Linked DNA regions of Lepisosteus oculatus. The protein of the gene in region 1 binds, or shares a complex with, the protein of each later gene. Links are inferred from orthologs where the notes say so. Each region holds a gene or a part of one and is shown in the gene's direction. Other genes may lie near its edges.

What was found. The genes of interacting proteins can lie anywhere in the genome.
Region 2: the proteins of poly [ADP-ribose] polymerase tankyrase-1 (region 1) and usp25 are in contact, whole or in part, in a crystal structure (PDB 5GP7), measured with the Homo sapiens proteins. The link is inferred for Lepisosteus oculatus from reciprocal best matches to the Homo sapiens genes TNKS and USP25. Residues at the interface, in NP_003738.2 of Homo sapiens: Arg836, Ser838, His842, Leu843, Gly846, Tyr847, Leu871, Asn876, Ser879, Tyr880, His882, Asp900, Trp902, Phe904, Glu909, Gln912, Lys913, Gln934, Glu935; in NP_037528.3 of Homo sapiens: Ser1046, Ser1048, Arg1049, Thr1050, Pro1051, Ala1052, Asp1053, Gly1054, Arg1055.

The regions. Positions count from the first base shown.
Region 1 is NC_090698.1:18,734,532-18,741,646, reverse strand, and holds the start of poly [ADP-ribose] polymerase tankyrase-1, read left to right. Parts: upstream 1-4,096; 5' UTR 4,097-4,144; coding exon 4,145-4,640; intron 4,641-7,115.
Region 2 is NC_090700.1:253,011-261,023, reverse strand, and holds the start of usp25 (ubiquitin carboxyl-terminal hydrolase 25), read left to right. Parts: upstream 1-5,012; 5' UTR 5,013-5,193; coding exon 5,194-5,235; exon of another isoform or gene 5,236-5,383; intron 5,384-8,013. Other genes in the region: arsenite methyltransferase, read left to right, coding at 347-478, 2,087-2,229, 2,941-3,063, 4,052-4,156. UniProt on the Homo sapiens protein: Deubiquitinating enzyme that hydrolyzes ubiquitin moieties conjugated to substrates and thus, functions in various biological processes including inflammation and immune response.

The DNA.
Region 1 (7,115 bases):
TGAACCAAATGTAAGATTGGGCACACTTCTGAACATGCAATGAATTCTCTATCATAAGAAAAACAACCAAATGAACAACAATTAAATTATTTTCAAAGCCAGTGTATAAGACTTTATAGAGCTCTGGTCAAACAAATGTGAAGATCTGAAAGGGTAAGTGATTTGCTACTGTGTAGTGTAATTTACGTCAGTTAGGATTATCCTATAAATATTGTATATTAGGATTTACCACAACTAGGTACTCTGTGTTAACATTCCAATTGGGTTCTCTTTTTGTTTGCTTTACATAAAATGATTTAGCGGATGTCACGGCAAGACATTAAACTAGAATGAATACAGGTATTATTTTCCCTGATCTGAACAATGCTATTCGTAGTCTCTGTTCAAGTCAAACAGTAGTTCTGCAATGTTAAATAATGGATTTTCAGCTCACACAGCTTTCTTCAAATCACAGAGAGCCCCAGTGAACTGTGTGGGCTGAGTGAATCGGGCTTCACAGAATTAGGCAAATGTCTTATTTTATTTCCAAATTGACCTGTGTTAACACAGCTTATTTTAGAATAGCAGATAAAAGAGGCTTCTGGGTAATACAAAGAAGACTGCATGGAGCTTCTTTCTTTAATGACAGTAGTGTCATGTGTGTTGGAGACATAGATTAAGTTGAATGGCATGTTGTCATCTCATGTCATGTCATGTCATTCGCCAAACCGCTTTATACCATCTGGCGGAGGGTCGGGGGGAAAAAGGGGAAACAGGACCAGGCGCTCCAGGTCCCATACTCCACTGGTACTGGAAACCAATGCAGAGCCCGGAACAGAGTGAGCGTCTGGCTTAAGTAGGGAGGCAGGAACTGGGAGCAGGTGCACAAAATCAACTCAAATGTGAAAGAGCCGGAGAGCCCTTAAGTGGGACAAACTACAATCGTGACTGCAACAAATGCAAGGCAGGGTACACCCTGGACACCCTGGACGGCTCTCCAGTCCATCCCAGGGCAAGTGCAAGCCAATCATACAATTTGGAGGCCACGGTAAAGCCAGAGGGGGGAAATTTGGCCTGGGACACCGAATAACTCCCTAATCTTATTGAGAAATGCCCAGGGATCTTTAATGAGCACTGAGAGTCAGGACCTCAGTTTAATGTCTCATTTTAAAGATGGACGGCATGTTGTTTATGGGTTAAATTAACAGACCAATGGAAAGTAAAAAATTGACCTGTTTGGTACTGGTTTGCACTTTGTATTGCAAAGATAGGTAAATGTTTTGTTATTTTTTTACTCAGTTTAGTCATTTTCTTTAACTTTTCTCTTACACACCTGACTTAGATGCAAAACCAACAATTGGTTTTATAGGGATCATCAATATTACAAACTCTTGTACAGAGCATCAAAACAAACATATTACTGAAAAATAAAGTATATAAATATTGGATATTAATTAAATGTTCTTGCCATCTTTTTGACTAATTGATACTTCTGAGACTGTAATACACTTAAGTGACTTCAACGGTTGTATAATCACTAAATCACCTAATTAGTGAGATAGTCAATTGGACACAGGTGATGAGGTGGTTTTAATGTCAAACCTTGTAAAAAATCGAAAGAGAAAACCACAGAAAAGAACCAATATTAAGAGGATCTTTTATCAAGGGAACAATGCCTTCATGCAATCAATATGTTGGAAGCTGGACTAAATGAATTCATGTGGACATGAAGGCAGTGATGCCAAATCCTCCGTAACAATGAATCAGGGTTTTGTGTAGCCCCCCCTGATAGATTTCTGCGAACGTAGTAGGGATGTGCAGAGTGTCATGCCAAGCGCTGTGTACAACAGATCGATCAACAGGAAGATCCAAATATGATGGTCTGGGCAAGAGTGTCCGGTCGCTACAGCAATCCCCTTATAACACATCCCAACTGCACACTACTTCTCTGATGAAGTTCTGGGGCATCGCTTGTTGCTCCTCCTGTGGACTCATCCAGCTGTGATAACATTCCAGACAGCCAAAGTGAGTCCTCCTGTTGCTTGTGTAACAGCTTTCTCTGAGTATGCGACAGTGGTGTCAACAATGTCCTGCTTCCAAACCTTGAGCCCTATGGAGCATTAGTGGGATGAACTGGGATGATGTGTGCCATTTTAGAGCTCAGAGACAAGTGATCTGACCCATGCTTGACCAGGATTTACACAGGCAATGTAACATGTCAAGATTTTAAGCTTGAATTCTTTCCAGCAGGGGCCACACACACTGGTAGCCTGTGACCCACTGTTAATCAGAAAAATTAACTTATCAATGTTGTGGCAGTCAACCTGCTGCAAAATGTTTTTTTGTCATAATTGATGCTATGTTTACAATTAAAAGTTGATTAAATTCATGTCAGTTTTTTAAGAAGATGCTATGTCAGTAATTTTTGTTGCTTATGGCGGACACTCCCTGGTTCCTTACCAAGATGATGTAATTATGTATGAGTGCATTTCAAAACATATTAATTATATGCACAACATGCTTTAGAAGAGGAATAAGAGCACTGGAAGTAATTACTATGACAATGAGTGATGTTTATTGTTGCCATTTGTGAAAAAAAAAACACAATGAAATTAATTAGCAGCATTTGTTTCTATTTAATATCTCCAGTGTCAGGTTTTCATTAAACATAGAAAAGTAAATTGCATAGGGATAAAGCTGACACATTATTCGATTTTTGCATTATTTTAATCTTAAGATAGATGGCTTTATAAAGAGTCCACAAGCAAATGTGTTGATTAGTCGTCATGTACAGGAGACCAAGTAGTTAAGAAACATTTTGGTTTCCACAATAAATGCTACAGTGAAGGAGGAGGTGGGGGTGGGGGTTGGAGTATGCTGAGATGAGCTTTGATTAAGACCTTCCCAACATTAAGAGCAAAATAAGACTGACTCCATGGATGGTCTTTCTAATTTAAGACAACCAGCAAAATCCAGAAATGCAGGAGAAACTTACTGTAAGTTAGCATTGTAGATGTTGAAGTGATAAAATTGGGTAAAAAAGGTAATACAAAGAACCGATTGTGAATCTGTTACAGTTAATCACACAGTAGAGTATGGAAGTAGAAGCATGGGCAGATGATATACTGGATCCATGATTTTCCTGGGTGCAGGTGAGTTGACAGGCTCATAGAGACTAGCAAATACTCATTTCTATTTCTGTATCCTCCGTTGTTAAAAGCTATCCTGGAGGCTTGTGGCTCATCATGTTTGAGCTCATCTCAGATTTCGTGGTGTTAAATGGACTAAGATTAGATGACTTTGTTGTATATGACACTAGCCCAAGTAACTCCAGCCATGCTTGTGTCCATTCATATGGGGTACTTAGAGTCTACATAAGAAAATCAAATCCACAATCTTCCAGCTAGTACTCTATTGCTGCCCCTCAATTGTTATCCACTAAAACCTCAGTTTTTCTTATTACCATGATAAATCTGTCCAGTAATACTGCATGGGTTCCAAGATGTACATGTACCACAAGGATGTGGTTTTTAATTTTCTCTGCCATGGCAAAAATATTATCCATCTGGGTTTAATGTTTCACTGTGATTCTGCTGCACTCTGTCGTGTTTATTTCAAAATACACCATAGAACACCTTTAGAAGGGAACCCTTGAAGGAACACATTGAAAATTTCAAGAAGACCATAATATGTCAGGAATCTGAGTTCGATCAAGAGCTGTCTAACCAGATTTTTGGATTACATATGGTAACTGTTAATTTTGGATGCTATGGCTTTAACTATTCAACAAAGTGTGTTTATTTGCGCAGAAAACGAGGCGAAACATTTGTACCAATTGACTTTTTTTTACATTATTTGTTGTGTTTATCTTCGTTGCAAAGTTTTAATTTGTCAAAATAAATTGGAGTAGTGTTCAAGGGTACTTTTATTTCGATGTATGTACATAATGCGTGTTATTCTCCTCATTTTCTACTGAGTTTCACTTCTGCCCCGGCTCCAATAAAGTCCGTACAGCATATATTTGCGCTACGGGATCGTCTGTCCTTTGTTAAGTTGTTTTGCTTCTGCGATCATTGGCTGTCCACGTCCGGAAGCACGCATTTGCTTGTTTCCCGGAAGTGAGCGGCGCTGTTTTTGTTGCCAGAGGGACTCCTGTGTTGTGAAAATGGCGGCGTCTCGTCGCTCGTCTCATCAGCAGCAACAGAGCCTGTCGTCCCCTCCGCGGAGCTCCTCTCTCTCCCCGACTCCCCCAGGTTCACCTCTTGCTCCTGCACCCGCAGGGGCTGCAGCCACGGTCCCGGTTGGCGCCGACCAGGACAGCAGCGGGGAAGCGGAGATCACGCCGGCCTCCCCCGATCTCCCCGCTCCGGCCCTTAGCAGCAGCAGCAGTACTGCTAGCAGCAGCGGCGGCGGCGGCGGCGGCTCCACGACGACAACCACCGGCGGGGGCAGCAGCAGCAGCAGCAGCGGCGGCTCCAGCCCGGACTCGGGCACTGCAAGTCCGGGAGGTAGCGGCGGCGGCGGCGGGGGGGCGTTTAGGGAGCTGTTTGAGGCCTGCCGCAACGGGGATGTGTCCCGGGTCAAGAGGCTGGTGGACTCGGGGAACGTGAACGCCAAGGACATGGCCGGGAGAAAATCCACCCCGCTTCACTTCGCGGCCGGTCAGTATTTCGCTGTGTGTGTGTTTGATTTGTTTTCTATCGCTTGACATTTGAAGTCGCTGTTAGGATATGTAAGGGCAGCCCTGGAGGGTGGTTGAAAACCCGCAATAAACGATTAAAGCGCTGATGATCGACAATTCTAATCGAGAAAATAGGAGGGGGGGGTGGATCAAAGTAACTGGAAATCCACGCTTCCATCCGGGAGGCTGCAGCTGCTGTGGAATTCGTGTCTTTGCACATTAGAGTTGCTTCCGTTTTTTCGATGAGGTCGGTGGAGTGGGCAGCGTTGTGGTGGTTTAGCCGATGAACGCGGATGCCTTTTAACTGGAGTATAACTTTGCGGCGAGACTTCGCTGGTGTTTAGCCCTCATCTGCCGAGTCTGGGGGTCGTGCCAGTTTGAGGAGAGGCTAGTAACACCTGAGCGAGCATAAGCTGTCACGCCACTCCGCGACGTGTCTGAATTAGTTCGCGCGAAGCTCTGTTATCCCATCTGGGTTTTACGAGGAGAGATCCGTTCAAAACAACGTCTGAACTGAAGTTTGGGAAGTTGGGTTGAGCGTTTAAACGAAGCCCAGGCCGTGCGGGTGTCCGCATGTTGTGTGCGCGCTGTGGGAGCGGCAATCCGTGAAGTTGATTATGGAGAGCTGTTTTTTTTTTAACACGGAGATAAATAACTTGTGCTGTCAAAACGTGACTTTTCGTCTGTCATTTGTGGGGAACACAAACTTTTCAGGGCGTGTGATTGCAATCAAGATGAGACCGATTTTGCTTCATTTTCCACGTAATTACAAGCAAAGTAAAATCGAAACTTATGTTGATATACTGAGAATACTGTCTTTGAGAACCTACCCTTTAAAGGTGCTATATAAAATAAAGTTTATTATTATTATTATTATTATTATTATTACTGGGAGATCACATGAAAATTACTTTCCAGTTTAGGCCTTGTCTGGGTAAATGCTTGTGACAAATGGTCCAACACGTGCTGACAGACCTGTCAGCCAGTGTGATTTATTTTGCTGTCTGTAGTCTGACACACCTGCTCAGATAAGGGGGCAGAAAAGACCCCAAGTCTAAGATTTTAAGACCACCATGTTGGGTCCTCCTGAATGGACCACATTGTCCTGAGAAAAGCCTAACAAAAAGTCAGTACTATTTTAATGTACCATTATTTAATAAATTCAAGATCAGATGTCAAAACCTTCCATTTGTGTTGCTTTTATTTGGCTGTAGAACAGCAGGTATGTGTATTTATAGCTGCAACATGCCAGGACACGCCAGGGTGTTTTTCTACAAAAAGGTGCAAAATGTGTTAGGAACCTTTTAGAAAGTATTAAAATATTCAAAAGTCCCACAACCAAAACTTTGACAACTCTATTTTTCTCAGCTTCCCTTGTGGTAGCTCTTATTTTGTACTTCAGAAAAAAACTACAAAAGAAGAAAAAAGTGTGGAGGTTGTTCCAGAAATAGATCTGGCAATCCAGGTGTATGGCAGTTTGAACATTTCTCAGGCCCTTTCTCTGCGTACGTCTTGTCTAGCAGCTGACATGGGTGGTGATAGGAACATAACATGAATAACTTTAACATCCATCCCGAGACTTTTCAGAAACTCTGAGAGAATTCCTCAGATCTTGCTTGATAAAATTTAGAGCTACTTCACACCAGAGATGTATTTTCTTTCATATACCTGCTTAACTGTCCGAGTCTGAGGGATTGTCAAAAGTACTTCACTGACAGTGCAAAATAAACGAAAGTGCCAGTATCTTCCAGTGTTATAATCACATTGGTTGGCAAAAGAATCACCAGAATATGACAATCACTACAGAGAGCTTGGCTTTTCTCTGGATTACACTTGATGCCTGCACCTTCCTGTGTTATATGAAAACTGTCTCTAAAACCTGGCATATGACCTAGTGAAAAAAGGACTGTAAACTGGATATTATCAGCGCTTCACAGTCTTCTGCTCAGGTACTCCTTCCTTGCAGAAAACGTGGTCAACATGGGTGAAAGCATACATTTACAGATGTAGAATGTCTACTGCATATTCAGTATATGTGTATATAGATATAATGCTGAGACCCTTTCCTACTTATTTTTCTTTACTTGCCTTGGAGTCATGGGGGGGCAACACAAAATGTTAAGCTCAGGATAAAAGTGTTTGGCACACATGCCAGTGTAGGGATTCTGCAGCCCTGTCTGGTCAATCAGCATTTAATGTTGAAGAAAACACTTTATTTAAAGAAAAAGACAGCATCATGTTTTTTTTTCCATCTCACTCGCATAAAACCTATTATTTGCGGATTCTTACTTAATGTAGAGAAATAGCCGAGTTGTTTTATGTTGTGGGAACAAATAGAATTATTCCGATTTTCAAATCCTTCTTCCTGACTGGATTCAAACTCTTTTTAAGTTTTTCAGTTCGGGCCATAATTGTGAATGGATTGTGTATATTAACCAATGAGTGTGTAAATCAT
Region 2 (8,013 bases), on another chromosome or scaffold:
CACAAGGGCTGGTGGGGAATTTTTTACATTAAGTTTGTAGGCTTCTTGTAGATGCCTGAAATTCATAGTACTTTCACTCCTGTATCTGACTTAGCAGTTTACTGAGGCTGTCCTTGAGAAGGTGCTCTGTAAAATAAAAATGTGAATGAAATTTTAAACACCTTATGGAGAATTGGAATTCTTGCTGCAGAAACATCTCCAGTCAATTTGTTTTGAATTTCCGATATGAGAAATGATCCATAAATGAAGCGGGATGAGGAGTTTCTCGGCTGTAGTTGCTGTCAGCATTTCTCAGTAAATCAGTGGTCGGGGGCGGATAATCACTGGTGTGTTTGATTTGTCGCAGGGGAAGGCCTGGGTGGCTCCCTGTACTGGATGGACCTGATATCACTGGTGAAGGATATAGGCTTCAGCAGACCCTACCTTGTTGCTGCCAGCCACATTGTCATACGTAACCGTGAACTCTTGGAAAAAACGGGTAAGTAGGAATTGGAACACGCGCAAGGCTGAAGGACCTGATCCCGACTTGGTCCCGACATCACCCTCTACAACTGGATTTGGGACTTTCTGGCAGGCAGACCTCAGGCTGTCAGGCTTGGAAACCACACCTCTGGCACACTACTCTGAACACTGGGATCCCCCAGGGTTGTGTGCTTAGTCCATTGCTCTACACCCACGACTGTAAGGCCAAACACAACACCAACTCCATCATCAAGTTTGCCGATGACACCACAGTTGGAGGTCTGATCACAGACAATGATGAGAGGGCCTTCCAGGAGGAGGTCCTTACAACATGGTGTGAAGACAACCTCACCCTCAACGTCGGCAAAACCAAGGAGCTGATCATTGATTTCAGAAACTGCAAAACGGACATGCCCCTATCCACATCAATGGGACTGAAGTGGAAAGTGTCAGTAACTTCAAATTCCTTGGCGTCCATATCACTGAGGACCTCACATGGTCTCTCAATGCCACCTGTCTGATCGAGAAAACGCAACAGCACCTGTACTTCCAAAGACAGTTGAAGAAGGTTAAGATATGTCCCCAGATCCTCACTAACTTTTACAGGTGCACTACAGAAAGCACACTGACAGGTTGTATCACAGTGTGGTACGGCAACTGCAGTATTGCTGACCGCAAAGCCTTACAGCTGGTGCCCAGTCCATCACTGGGGTTGCCCTCCCATTCATACAGGACATAAATGACAGACGGTGCTTGAGGAAAGCTCTAAGCATCATCAAAGACCCCATACGCCCCAGCTACAGACTGAGCCTCTACCATCTGGAAAACGGTACCAGAGCATTCAGGCCTGGACTACCAGACTCGGAGACCGTTTTTACCCCCGCACTATCAAACTATTAAACTCCCAGCCTCTCTCACCTACGATCTGGTAAGAGAGAAGGCACTGTAGGTTCAAACACCTTGAAATCTACCCCTACCTCACTTCAAGTAGCTCACTCCCCATAATTTTCTATCCTTTATTTCATTATGTTGATATTATAATATCTCATTATGATTTTGCACACTGCCTGTTGTCTCGGTCTTTCTTTTCTTATACAATTGTATTGTTGTTTTTTGTATTACTTATTGTCTGAGAGCTAGCTAAATAGCATTTAATTAAACCATATACCTGTATATGAGTATAATGACAATGAACTTGAACAGGCTCATTGCACGACATTGGTGTTATGAAATTAGTCTTCCTCAAAAGGTGCTGTTATGTAACCAGTGGGGCATTTAAAAGACCCAGTTTTGAATATTCTACAGTGTGTTTGTTAGTGGTTTTCCTGGAGCTTTCCTTCATGGGCTGTGCCACACTCAGCCACTAGAAACTATGAGCTGGAAAAGGCAAAGAAAAAGCAACAGGCAGAGGTTTGGTCCATATGTTCCTGTTTAACCATCCAGATGGGGGGTTCTGTTTTTCCATTTTTAAATAGAACAAATTATTTCTGCTGAAAATTTACACTTTATTCCATGGAAGTGACAAATTTTGGCTCTCTGTTACACTAATGCCAGAAATTACATAATTGATTTGAGTGCTAATTTACTTACTTTTACAGTATTAAATGTTTTTTTTATTGCTTAGGTGATATTACATATGCATCTGGGACATACCGTGTCTTTAAATTGCCAAAAAACAGAACTAATGGAAATGCCATCATGACATACCAAGGGACCGTGTCTGACCATCCTGACCAGCTGGTGTTTGATGCTTCTCACACCTTTAAGGTATGCATGTTCTCCAGAAATTCTGCCTTGAGTGCAGACACGTTTCTGAGTTAAACATCTGATCAGATTAGAATGGGAAACAATGTGTATCCCTCCATTAAGATTGTAATGAAAAGAAAACAATAAGCAGTGTCCACTCCTCTTTGACATTGTTGGGTTGTGCAACTATGGAACAAGCTACCCAGCCTTGTTGTTAAAACTGATAACCCTGGCTTCTTTCAAGAAACAATTGGATAAGATCCTGGGATCAAGTAACTACTAACTTCAAAATGGATTAGATGGGCCTCCTCTTGTTTTAACCAATTTGCCATGATTTACTGTTCCAGTAAACTGGTAAATAATCCATTAAGGCAAGTGTAAAGCATGGTGCAGCATGTTTCACTGATTTGGTGATGCACAGTGATAACCTAGAATAAAATTTTCTGTGGTATTTGGAAATTATTTTTTCATTCTTAAAATCTGTTCAGTGAGATTTGAGGTAGCGAGTTTTAGTGCAGAGTTCCTTGTCAGTAACTACTGAAAGAAGTGAGCTGTCCTGCCTATAGCTGTGACTGGTCTGACTGCCTTGTTGCTGATATGATACCACTGAAACTGGATAGCTGATCTTATGAAATTAACATTTGCTCGTATTTGTTTCCATGCAGGGTTAGTTCAGCTCTATAGCAGAGCTATGTTCTGTTTGATACCGTAGTGAGAGCATTTTGTCTCCAGAAAGGTGTAGCTGTTGAGGTGGATGCCGAGACGGCTTCTGTTCTCCAGTACTCCCGCTTTTCATCTGACTTTTCCATTCTGAACGCTGATGCTCCTCTGACCGTCCAGGAGATTTCACCTCCGGTGAGGACATTTCCTTGCAGAGCCTGGGGAAATGCAGCCTAATGCCAGTGTTTCATGTGAAACATTGGCTCATTGTGATAGGTGCATTTTATGTCATTAGAGATTCTTCTGTTTGAATTTAGTAGTCTCTGTCAAATCCCCCTGTGTTACACAAACATAGTATGCATGTCTGAAATCCTGAAAAGTCTCTTGACCATTGTGCCTACAGTATATTCATATTTTATTATTTTTTAATTCTTCAGCCAAATCTCCTGGTAATTGCTGTGCTACAGCTTGTAGCCTAATTTCCACCTCACAGAAACTACTGTTCAGGCTCAAGCCTACACAAGCACCTTCAATCAGAAGGTCACACCACACTTTTTAGCAACCGATTCGGCACATCTTGCAGCCCACTGCCACTGTGCTACATGAGGCAACCCACACAACTTGCATATCCCCTGCTGAACACTCATGTAATGTAGAAATCTTTTTAGTGTGTGGTTTGAGTGATATGAATGACCACCTACTATTTGTTTTTCACAGTTGGAATGTAAAAGGCAGTCAAACCACATCCAAAATTCAACTGTAAACCAGTTTTGAACTGCTCTCATCTAAATGAGAAATGAATGTGGGTCTGTCTCCAGGACTCTGAAGTATGACAGGTGGCCCAGTATTTTTAAGATAATTTATACTAAACCTGTAATACATTTGTGTGCTTTTATGTTCCACTTTTATACTTAAACTACATTTGATGTTGATTCTTTAATACAGAATTAGATGAGGCTCCTAGTTTACTGGGAAATTAAGATGTACTGTGTTTTTTAAATGTTTTGTTCACAATATTAGTTGTTTCTGGAACCCATGATCCCAGATAAGAATTATTTTAATAATCTATTGCTTAAGTGAATCATTGAAATCTTTGAGGTCCCCTGTTTTTATTTTCTTAAAGCCACCATGCCTCCACTCTTAAAGTCTTAAAGACTTTTAAAGTCTCTTCTTTTTTTTTCAGTATTCCCACCTCAACCCTTTCCTGCTTGCTGACCGGCTGGGCGCGTCCATGCTGCAGTGTTCCAAATCCAGGGCCAGAGTGGCCTGTGAAGCAGCAGTGAACTAGCAGGAGGTCTGCAGAAAGCCCTGGGAGGCAGGAGGGGCAGTGCTCTGTCCAGTTACCCTAGTCACAGCTCCCATACTTATCTCTTTGACAATTTCAGCTTTGGTACTCTTTCTGAAGATTTCTGAGGCGTGTTTTTTCCTTGATATAGTGCCTTTTCCTTCCCGACAGTGATCTTTACACCAAAGTATTAACAGAACTGTTTGCTTTAGACTGAAGAGGCAAAACTGGAGCCTAATACAACCTGCTCACGGGCTGCACTGTCCAGCTGCAGTTTTAATAAAATCCATGATAGCAACTCAGCCTTTCTTTTCTGTTTGGAAGGAGTGGAAGGGAAATGTGGCTGAATGTTGTTACGAAGAAAAACCGAACTCTGAGAAACAACCTACATTAAACAGGTTCAAAAAGTGTTCTGTTTCTTTCTTCGTGGTGAGGAATCTGAGAAGGTATTCAACTTCACAAGAGTATATTTTATTTGGCATAGCAGTTTGGTAATCATTAAAAAAAAACATTCATTTTCTACTCGTCCATAAAACTGAAGATTGCTTCGTCTGCTGTAGAGGTGTTTTTGTCTTTTTTACTCTTACAATGTTTGCCCCACTGTTAACCACACAAACTCTTGGCTAAGGCATTATTTTTACAGACCCCAACATATGTTTAGATATTAAATGAATCCTAATTGCACGGATCATGCAATCACTTAAATAGAGGTTACTCCATTCATCACGCTTCCCGGGTACGGAGGTTTAGCTAAATTCTCACTTCTGTACATTACATTTCAAAAACTGACACACGCACCACGGGGTCGCTGACGCCATGTTTGTGGGCCTGTCTGATTATACGTCATTGCAGCCAGTCAAGGCCAAACTAGCTGATCTCAGAGAGCCTGGGTGTCGATGGGCTTGTGTTGACTTTTCTCCTACCTTGCCAATGGCTCCCGCTAGTGCGCTGATAAACAGGGGGACATCTTAGTTATATGTTTTTTTTTTCAATTTCTTGCCATTTTCCTGTTAAGTTTGGTTTGGTTGTGTGTGCCGGCCATGACCGTGGAGCAGAATGTCCTGCAGCAGCACTCTCAGAAGGTAGGGTGGGTGTTGGGGAGCTGCTGCCGAGAAGCGCCGCGGCTGTGGCTCAGTGCCCGGCAGGGTGGACGGTCTCCGGCGCCGCTGCCAGTCGAGTCTCCGGCTTCTCCAGGACAGCGCTTCCACGCTGCCTGAGCGAGCTGTAACACTGGAGAAAATATTACTTTGGCGCTAGGCGGGGTTATTCGACGTCGAGGATTCATTAGCTTTGCCTTCATCGTTTTTAAAGCCGTGCAATTTGCTGCATTCCTAAAGCAAATAACCCAGTTACCCTAAAATATACCTAGGAAGTGAGCATAGTCGTAATCGCTACACTTTATCTTAAAATGCTCGGATGGATCTTGCGTTTCATCGATAATTTGACGAATAACTAACACGAGCCAGAGCCAGGGCCAGATGGCTTGTTTTCGGTTTTTTTTTTTAGTTACTATCGTTTAAGTATCGTTTTCTTATCTCCTCCTATAATTCTATTTAACAACCCGGATCTGAAGAGAGGTGTTGAAAAGTGACTGTTGTTGTTTGTGTAGTCGGGATATAAATGTGATGTATTGATCACAAACGTGCAGAAAACCGTCTTTTTAGTTGTGTGTAGCAATCGTAATGGAGATCTCCTGTAGTTTGTGCGTGTCCTCAGTACTGTATAGTTACTGATGGTAATAGTAGCATGCCTGGCGTTTGATTATTAAATAGTGATGTTTCATTGTAACTCCTCGGCATTCGAAACAGATTTTACAATAAAGCCCGGTAGAGATCAAGAAGTTAAGCTTGTAAACGCAACTGTCTGGGATTGAGCCCGCAATTAGTTACATAACTCTTCCAGCCTTCACTGCCCTGCTGTGATTTCTGAACTGTAGTACCCGAGCAAGCGTGTGCAGATTCCTTTACTCCTGGTTTCCATTTCTATATAGTTAATGCACAGCGTTTGGTGCATTTGTTAGATTTATTACTAATATCTGTCTATGTTAGCTTAATATATTCCTGAAGGGGATTGGTGTTGTGTTAAATGTATAGTATTAAAGTGAAAATATTATTGTATTTGCTTCAGTAGAACAACAAGCAAGGGGCAAAGCAAAATAGCCAAATGGGCTCCCAGAATTGATAATTATGTTCTGGAGCAAGAGGCACTGTGGGCTAAGTACTGTTTAATGTTTCCTACGTATTACAGACACAAGCCACAGGGACAAGACGAGAGGGAGTGGTATAGGATTTCTGTGTTCATTGGAAACCTAGAATCTTGTGGTTTTCTATTCTAGCTGGATTCTTGATTTGGGTCAGTTGCTTAAGCCCTTTATTAATAAAATCACGGTTTAATTAAGCCTTTTTTTAAAGGTTTTTAAATTTAAATCTATACAGTGGGCTATTTAACTACAGAAGTGGAAAGAAAACATAAAAGAAAGCTATAACCATGTACAGGGATTATTCTTTAACCAGCAGCCTCCTGCGAGAAGATCCATATATATTGTGTGTCTGAGAAGTCTTTTTGGCTACACTTTAACATAAATCTCAGAAAGTCTGTTCTGTAGTTCATTTAACTTTTGTGAGTATGCAAATTGATATAGGATACTTTTTTCGCATGCAGGTGGTAGTGCACAGAACCAAGACACTGCAGAATCAGAAACCAAAAGTATTACCACAAGCAGAAACAACTGAATTTCAGTCCTTAGTTGATTCAAATCAAGCGTAGCTCACTTTAAAGTATGTGGTATGGTAGAAGACATCTTGCTTTAAGTTGAATGAATAGTTGTATATACAGACTATGGAGAAATGACACTGATATGGGTTTACATTTTCTGCTGCATGGATAATTGTTCTTCACCTTCTTCACCTTGTAAAAAATAAAAAGGTAAGCTAAACAAAAATGAGCTCCTCTGACATGGTCAAGCCAAGTTCACTTTAAGACTGTGATGTGTACAGAGTTGGCTCCACTGGTACTATATCTAGGTCGAATGTGGAAATAACATTGACTCATTGACTTTACGAATCATTAAAGTCATTAACTATTTAGAGAGGTTACAAACAATGGCCCATCTAGCCTCTTTGGTGGTTTGGAACTAATTGATCCAAGCTGATCCAGATGTTTTTTAAAGAAGCCAGGGTATCTGCTTCAACAGCATGGCTGGGGAGGCTGTCCCATGGTCTCAGAAAATTGCCTGCTTTTCCTGGGTTCAGATGCACCTTCATGTAGCTTCCACATGTGTCCTCTGGTTTGTGTTTCACTGTTGATTCAGTGTTAATATGCTGTCATTTTAACCTTATCAGAAGAATGCATATTCTTGGTAAGGATCATGTTAATTCAGTCTATACCCCAGAACTGTAGGGCGCAAGGTAGGACTATATCCTACGAGGCTGCAGTGCTGCTATGTTTCGTACTGAAGCAGATGAAGACCAAGAGTAATACGAACTGACCATTTCTGCACAATTTTTGACAACTGCCACTAAAGACCAAGACTTAACAATAGTAAAAGACTTTTAAAACAAATTTCAGTAGTTTATTCTGTTAATGTTGTATTTATTTTTCTCCAATACAATAGTTGTTGAGACTTCAACCATGCACAGTCGAAACAGTCTGAATGGAGGATGCTATAGTCGCTGCAATAGCTCATTAGTTTGGTCATTTTAGGCCATTACTCTGACCACATTGATTCAGTCAGTTTTTTTTGGCAGTTGTTGTAAGAAGTACTCATTAATGCTTTTAACAGGTTTTGTGTTTTCCTGAATATCTTCACATATACTATGCACAGTACATCTCGGTGACATGCATTTATTTTTAAGGTGTTC